Linked DNA regions of Macaca fascicularis. The protein of the gene in region 1 purifies or fractionates together with the protein of each later gene. This does not show direct contact. Links are inferred from orthologs where the notes say so. Each region holds a gene or a part of one and is shown on either strand. Other genes may lie near its edges.

What was found.
Region 2: the proteins of PTPN5 (region 1) and MAPK14 purify together in Homo sapiens (affinity purification with mass spectrometry; 3 studies listed by BioGRID and IntAct, with this or other methods). This does not show direct contact. The link is inferred for Macaca fascicularis from reciprocal best matches to the Homo sapiens genes PTPN5 and MAPK14.

The regions. Positions count from the first base shown.
Region 1 is NC_088388.1:46,908,696-46,912,776, reverse strand, and holds the start of PTPN5 (tyrosine-protein phosphatase non-receptor type 5), read right to left. Parts: upstream 2,922-4,081; 5' UTR 2,566-2,921; intron 1-2,565. UniProt on the Homo sapiens protein: May regulate the activity of several effector molecules involved in synaptic plasticity and neuronal cell survival, including MAPKs, Src family kinases and NMDA receptors.
Region 2 is NC_088378.1:135,562,087-135,566,376, reverse strand, and holds the end of MAPK14 (mitogen-activated protein kinase 14), read left to right. Parts: intron 1-344; coding exon 345-518; intron 519-1,283; coding exon 1,284-1,351; 3' UTR 1,352-3,664; downstream 3,665-4,290. UniProt on the Homo sapiens protein: Serine/threonine kinase which acts as an essential component of the MAP kinase signal transduction pathway.

The DNA.
Region 1 (4,081 bases):
GAATAAACAAAAGTGTTGCTCCTCCCAGGGAGTTTTCATGGATGTTTTATGCTGGCTGAGCCTGAAGTCCAGGAATAGGTCAGTGGGGAAAGGATTCTTTTGAGGGAGGAGGACTTTTGAGGCCTTAAGAATCCCATGTCCTTGGATGATCTGAAGAAAGGAAGACGTATAGGGTATATCCACAAAGCTGGGGTCCTAGTGGAATTACTAGCTACCAATTCTTGAGCATTTCGTATGTGCTAGGGACTGTACTAAGTACTCTACATACATTATTCTTGAGTCAGAAATTATTCCTTCATAGAGCAAAAGAAGCCCATAGCAGTTATATAAATACGTGCTCCCCCCTACCCCACCGCCAAATAGTTCATAACATCATCAATCCAATGATGTTATTTTTTGGATGGAGAAATTAAGACCCAGAAGGGTTATATACTGACATTGTATAGCCAGTGAGGAAGAAACTGGGCCTGGAATCCAGATCTCTCCACTCTGAAGGGAGAAACCCCTACACGGCAAAAACCCAGGGGCCACAATTCATTATGAAGTTTGTGTAAACTTCATAGCCAATGCCATCTGTATGGACTACATTGTCAGTGGCAGCCCCTGAAGTTCTGCCACTTGGCCACCCTGGCTCAGCTCCATGATGAGCTGCTCACCCCTCAAAAAAGTTCTGGATGGAACTAGAGACTATGATTCTAAGTGAAGTAACTCAGGAATGGAAAACCAAACACTGTATGTTCTCACTCATAAGTGGGAGCTAAGCTATGAGGATGCAAAGGCATAAGAATGATACAATGGACTTTGGGGACTTGGGGGAAAGGAGGGAGGCGGGTGAGGGATAAAAGACTACAAAAATTGGGTTCAGTGTATACTGTGGGTGATGGGTGCACCAAAGTCTCACAAATCACCATTAAAGAATTTACTCATGAAACCAAACACCACCTGTCCCCCCAAAACCTATGGAAATAAAATTAAAAAAGGAAGTTCTTGAGACCAGAACCTCAGGTCCCTGGAGACTGAACACTGGCCTCCTTGCCAACTCTTCCATCCAGAGTCTCCTCCAAGGTGACGGACTCCATCCCTTCACCATCCGTCTGTGCTTGTACTCCTTCAACACACCTCTCGGGGCACCCTCTCTGCACCAGGCTTCAGGCTCAGCTCTGGGGACACCCGGCTGCCCTTGATGGAGCCTTGTGCTGAGAAAGCACCCGAGCCTGGTGTGATTGTAACTCAAGCTTCCCCAGCAGCTTTGTCAGCAGCACCAAGAGGCTGCCCTTAACAAGCCCCAAGGAGAAAGAGGTGGGGACCTCCGCAAAGGGATGACTAAAGGGGCCTGGTTGGAGTAGAAGACTTGGCCCTCAAGGGGGAGGGAAGGGTGACTGGGAGGGCACGCAGTCAGGACACAGTGGAGAAGAGGACAAATCCTGGGATGCCACATCACCTGGTCCAACTGAGGACACTCAGGCTCAATGTGTCCTGGGTGGATCAGGATTAACGCCTGGGAATCTGATCTCAGGTCCAGGGCTTCTTCATTCTCCCAAACGGAATCCCAAACTCGGAGTGTTTGAGTGTTTGCATAAGAGACGTGAGAGCTCTCCTTTGAGGTTGAAGGAAGCAAATTAAAGCCCCCTCCCCCGTTTTTTGGTACAGCAGGTAGGGATGATAGCAAATGAATGGCACCTGCCCCTCCAAGTGAGGCAGGGCTGGAATTACACACTTTCGTGGTACACTCAGGTGAATTTTGGGGTTCTGGGGCTTCAATGGGGGTGGGATCTAGTTGTGTAGGAGGGGACATGAGTATGAAAACCTGTGACCCTAGATTCTAATGAAAGCTTTACCACTAACTCTCCGGTCACCTTGGCCAAGCCACCTTACTGGGCCCTCAGTTACCCCACCTGTAAAATGAGGAGGTTGACTAAGTTCCGAAGATTCGTCTGGCCCGGATCTTCTAAAGCCCTGTGATCCTGGATAAGGTAAGCCTCCCAAGGTTCTTACACGGGCAATCTCCGGTTTTGCAGGAGCCTGGGCCTCATCCAGAAACAAGCTGCATGCTGGGGGAGGGGAGCGCGCTAAGCTTTTATTCTGGGGGAGGGTGGGACGCTGGAGGCTAAAGCTAAAGGGTCGGTGGAGGCGATGCGTTGGGAAGGCTGGGAGCCGCGCTTTAGAGACCGGAAGGGTAGCGGCGGTTTCCAACCTCCCTCAGGGGCTTCAGGCTCTGAAGAGGCAATGCAGCCCAGAGCCGCGCACCAACCTCCGCCGGCCGTAGAGGCTCACACTCCAAAACACTATCCCGATTCCTCCCCGGAACCGCGCACGGGCTTCGTGGGGAGTGGCTGCCGCTCCCTCCCGGCTACCAAGCGCCGAGCCCCCTCCTCTGCGTTGGGGGACCCCTCCCCCAGCATGGGGGCGCCCGGAGCCCCACGGGGGCGTGGCGGGGGCGGGCGCCGACTCCTCGGCCCGGAGGACTGGAGAAGGTGTCAATTGCGGGGCCACCCCAAGGAGGGACCCGCGCCCTGCACCTTCCGGCTCCGCACACAAAGGCGCCGACGGAGGCGCTGCACTTACCGGCCAGAGCGGGCTGCGGGCTGCGGGCTGCGGGCTGCGGGCTGCGGGCTGCGGGCTGCGGGCTGCGGGCTCCGGGCTCCGGCGAGCAGGCGGGCAGGCGGGCAGGCGGGCAGGCGGGCAGGCGGGCAGGCGGGCAGGCTGGCGGGAGGATGTGCGCGCGCGAGTGTGCGTGTGTCTGCGTGTGTCCCTGCCTGTGTCTGTGCCAGTGTGTGCGCGACGGGGGCCGCGCCGAGCTCTGTGCGTCTGCGTGTGCGGGGGCGTCCGTCCTTCGGTCCGTCCGCCCGGCGCTCCGTCCCGCGCTCCGTGCGCGCTCCCTCGCCCTACAGCCTCACCAAATGCGCTTCAGCTGCGGAGTCGCAGGCGCAGCCGCCGGGTGGGTTTGGCACCCCCCAGCCCTGGCTCCGCTCCGCCCCGCCCCCGGGCGGGCTGGCGCCGCTCCCCGGGAATTGCGCAGGGCTGGCGGGGCTGGGGACCGGGAGATCGGGCTGCTCCCGGGGCACGAAGGGGGCGGATCACAGACCCTTAACCCCTGACCTCATCTCAGGTGCCTCCCTCTCCCGAGCAACTCTGCGCGGAGTCCCAGCAGTCGTTGTCCTCAAGCCAAGGTTGCCTGGACAGGGAGGGCGGAGGAGTGGGAGCATCGCATCCATTTCATTCATGATTTTTCTCCTCTTGGGAGCCCCGGGTCGGGCCGCGCTGCTACGGCAACCGCCAGAGGGACCCTGCCAGGGCCGTGCGCGCTGAACCTGGGACGGGACAGACAGGCAGACAGAGGGAGTAGGGGCCAGCGAGACAAAGGGGGCAGAATTGGGGGGTGGGGGGTGGGGGGTGGGGGGGTCGGCTCACTGGGGGCATGCTGTGGCGCTCCTCCCATGTTACCAACACCTGCGCAAGTGGAGCGGCCGCATACTAGGGCGCACGCAATACCGGGTGACGAGTACCAGTTCTAGGACGCTGAGGAGGCGCCCCTTTTCCCAGTTCTCCCTGTTCAGCCTCTGGGGAGCTAGAGTGAGCGGACAGCTCCTCCCTCCGCTGAGTCTTGCCCCCCTGACGTGCGGCGAGGGGCACGCATCTGTCGGTTTTCTCGTGGGCACCAGGGGCCCGGACGCGCAGGGAGCTGCCCATGCGCCCCACAATTCTCCCGCAATCTCCGGTATTCTGCAGGCTGTTACCATGCTGGCCAGAGGTTTCCGGCATTCCATCCCCATAGGGGCTTGAGGCTGTGGGCTGCACACAGGGCAGGGATCCTAAACTCCATTTTTTACACGGGGAATCAGAGGCGAGCCACCACATAGCTACCACACTGGTTCCAGCCATCATCCCCCACCCCCCCGGGATTTCCATAATAGCGTCTTTACTGGTCTCCCAGCTTCCACCCTTGGCCCCCTGCAGCTATTCTCTACACAACAGTCCCAGCGGCGATCCTTTAAAATTTAAGTAAGAGCACGTCGTTCCTTTACCGGAAAGGCCCCTCATGACCTGCAAAGGCCCTTCAGGAGCTGGCTCCCTTTTAACT
Region 2 (4,290 bases), on another chromosome or scaffold:
AAAATACAGGAGGAGGGTGAGGGTTGAGAAATAACCTGTTGGGCACAATGTTCACTATTTGGTTATTGGGCACACTGGAAGCCCAGTCCCCATCCGTGAGACCCATGTGACAAATGTGCACGCGTACCCCCGAATCAAAAATAAAATAAAACATTTTAAACATACAAAATACAGATACACACACACACGTAAAGGAGAAAAGGGCCAGTATATCCTAGAGTAGGTATTTTTGGAGGAGAATTCCTTGTTTGGATATGAAGGGTCAAAACTATGTTTGCTTAATAAGGCATACTTTTTTGTAACATATTAAAAACTATTTTCCTTCCTGTCTATGGTACTGATAGCTGTCGACTTGCTGGAGAAGATGCTTGTATTGGACTCAGATAAGAGAATTACAGCAGCCCAAGCCCTTGCACATGCCTACTTTGCTCAGTACCACGATCCTGATGATGAACCAGTGGCCGATCCTTATGATCAGTCCTTTGAAAGCAGGGACCTCCTTATAGATGAGTGGAAAAGTAAGTCCTAAGGGTAGGATTAACATCTTGTACCACTAACCGAAAGCGGTGGGAAAATAAAAACTGAATGGTCATAACCAACTTGCTAAAGCTTGTAGTTGAGGTCTGTAATGCAGAATGAATATGTTCTCTGGTGGAAAGTGTTGTAGACAGTGATACTCTCTGGACCTTTGAGATACTTAACATCTGGTCTGATTTTATGCACAGCCCCTCACATATAGGAGCTTTGCATGGAGATTTGAGGTTTTCAGAGTTATTGCATTTACAACATCTCTCTGAGCTAAGTAAAGAATAGGATATTTTTACAGTTTTACAGTTAGTAGAACTGGGGCAAAGAGAATTTATGTCTTATCAGTTAACTTAGAACTAGTTAGGGACATAGCCAGGAATGGAACCCGTGTATCCTGTGTCCAGTCCCATATTCTTTCCATAAAACACAAGTTCAGAACTCCAGTTAAATCCAAAGAGCCAAGACCATCTGTTGCCGTAGCTTGTGAGAGTGCTCTTTCATTCTTGAGCACCTCCGTAGAGAACTTAAGAGGCATTCAGCAATGAAAAACATGAGGAAAAAAAAAGGTTCTTTTCTATGTCCCTCGAACTTCTGTGTGATAACGTGCTCCATTAGAATATTACATACCAGCTGTGAGGTAGCCCATCATACCACTACCTGGACAGGGAGGAAGGATCTTGAGTGAAGTCAGAGTGCTCGCCAGCAAAGAGAACAGCCTAAACTCTCACGTCTTACTTTTCCTTCCCGATGTCTAGGCCTGACCTATGATGAAGTCGTCAGCTTTGTGCCACCGCCCCTCGACCAAGAAGAGATGGAGTCCTGAGCACCTGGTTTCTGTTCTGTCGATCCCACTTCACTGTGAGGGGAAGGCCTTTTCATGGGAACTCTCCAAATATCATTCAAGTGCCTCTTGTTGCAGAGATTTCCTCCATGGTGGAAGGGGGTGTGTGTGCGCGTGTTAGTGTGTGTGCATGTGTGTGTCTGTCTTTGTGGGAAGGTAAGACAATATGAACAAACTATGATCACAGTGACTTTACATGAGGTTGTGGTGACTTTACATGAGGTTGTGGATGCTTCAGGGCAGCCTCCACCTTGCTCTTCTTTCTGAGAGTTGGCTCAGGCAGGCAAGCTGCTGTCTTTTTAGGAATATGTTCAATGCAAAGTAAAAAAATATGAATTGTCCCCAATCCTGGTCATGCTTTTGCCACTTTGGCTTCTCCTGTGACCCCCACCTTGACGGTGGGGCATAGACTTGACAACATCCCACAGTGGCACAAGAGAAGGCCCACACCTTCTGGTTGCTTCAGACCCAACGCTGTCCCTCAGTGATGCGTACAGCCAAAAAGGACCAACCGGCTTCTGTGCACTAGCCTGTGATTAACTTGCTTCGTATGGTTCTCAGATCTTGACAGGTGTATTTGAAACTGTAAATATGTTTGTGCCTTAAAAGGAGAGAAGAAAGTGTAGATAGTTAAAAGACTGCAGCTGCTGAAGTTCTGAGCTGGGCAAGTTGAGAGGGTTGTTGGACGGCTGCTTGTGGGCCCGGAGTAACCAGGTAGCCTTCAGAGGCGGTCATGTGTGCATGTGAGTGCATGCGTATATGTGCGTCTCTCTTTCTCCCTCACCCCCAGGTGTTGCCATTTCTCTGCTTACCCTTCACCTTTGGTGCAGAGGTTTCTTGAATATCTGCCCCAGTAGTCAGAAGCAGGTTCTTGATGTCATGTACTTCCTGTGTACTCTATTTCTAGCAGAGTGAGGATGTGTTTTGCATGTCTTGCTATTTGAGCATGCACAGCTGCTTGTCCTGCTCTCTTCAGGAGGCCCTGGTGTCAGGCAGGTTTGCCAGTGAAGACTTCTTGGGTAGTTTAGATCCCATGTCACCTCAGCTGATATTATGGCAAGTGACATCATCCTCTCTTCAGCCCCTAGTGCTATTCTGTGTTGAACACAATTGATACTTCAGGTGCTTTTGATGTGAAAATCATGAAAAGAGGAACAGATGGATGTACAGCATTTTCATTCATGCCATCTGTTTTCAACCAACTATTTTTGAGGAGTTATCATGGGAAAGATCAGGGCTTTTCCCAGGAATATCCCAAACTTCAGAAACAAGTTATTCTCTTCACTCCCAATAACTAATGCTAAGAAATGCTGAAAATCAAAGTAAAAAATTAAAGCCCATAAGGCCAGAAAACTGCTATCTTCCTCTAAATATGATTACTTTAAAATAAAAAAGTAACAAGGTGTCTTTTCCACTCCTCTATGGAAAAGGGTCTTCTTGGCAGCTTATCATTGACTTCTTGGTTTGGGGAGAAATAAATTTTGTTTCAGAATTTTGTATATTGCAGGAATCCTTTGAAAATGTGATTCCTTTTGATGGGGAGAAAGGGCAAATTATTTTAATATTTTGTATTTTCAACTTTATAAAGATAAAATATCCTCAGGGGTGGAGAAGAGTTGTTTTCATAATTTGCTGAATTTCAGGCATTTTGTTCTACATGAGGACTCGTATATTTAAGCCTTTTGTGTAATAAGAAAGTATAAAGTCACTTCCAGTGTTGGCTGTGTGACAGAATCTTGTATTTGGGCCAAGGTGTTTCCATTTCTCAATCAGTGCAGTGATAAACGTACTCCAGAGGGACCGGGTGGACCCCCGAGTCAACTGGAGCAAGAAGGAAGGAGACAGACTGATGTTGATTCCCTCTCAGCCGGGACTCTCCCCCTTTCAAGGAGAGTGAACGTAAAGGCCTCATCTCCTTTATTGCAGTTCAAATCCTCACCATCCACAGCAAGATGAATTTTGTCAGCCATGTTTTGGTTGTAAATGCTAGTGTGATTTCCTACAGAAATACTGCTCTGAATATTTTGTAATAAAGGTCTTTGCACATGTGACCACATACGTGTTAGGAGGCTGCATGCTCCGGAAGCCTGGACTCTTAAGCTGGAGCTCTCGGAAGAGCTCTTCGGTTTCTGAGCATAATGCTCCCATCTCCTGATTTCTCTGAACAGAAAACAAAAGAGAGAATGAGGGAAATTGCTATTTTATTTGTATCCATGAACTTGGCTGTAATCAGTTATGCCATATAGGATGTCAGACAATACCACTGGTTAAAATAAAGCCTATTTTTCAAATTCAGTGAGTTTCTCAAGTTTATTATATTTTCCTCTTGTTTTTATTTAATGCACAATATGGCATTATATCAATATCCTTTAAACTGTGACCTGGCATACTTGTCTGACAGATCTTAATATTACTCCTAACATTTAGAAAATGTTGATAAAGCTCCTTAGTTGTACATTTTTTGGTGAAGAGTATCCAGGTCTTTGCTGTGGATGGGTAAAGCAAGGAGCAAATGACAAGGTATTAAGCACTGGGGCCTGTCTTATCTACACGCGAAGGTAAGAGTGGCCGAAACGACAGGGCTCAGCAGACTGTGGCCTGAAGGTCAAATCTGGCCCACCACTCTTTTGGTGTAGTCTGCTAAGAATGGCTTTTACATTTTTAAATGGTTGGGAAAGAAAAACAAAAAGAAGTAGTAGTTTTTGTAGCAGGTAAAAAGTAATGTAAAACTTAAATTCCAGTATCCATAAATAAAGTTTTATGAGAACAGAACCATGTTCATCTGTTTATGTATTGTCTGTGGCTGCTTTTGTGCTACAGTGACAGAGGCAAATAGTTGCAGCAGAAACTATACGACCTCCAAAATGTCAACCACTTACCATCTGGCCCTTTAGAGAAGTCTGCTGACCCTTGGCCCAGGG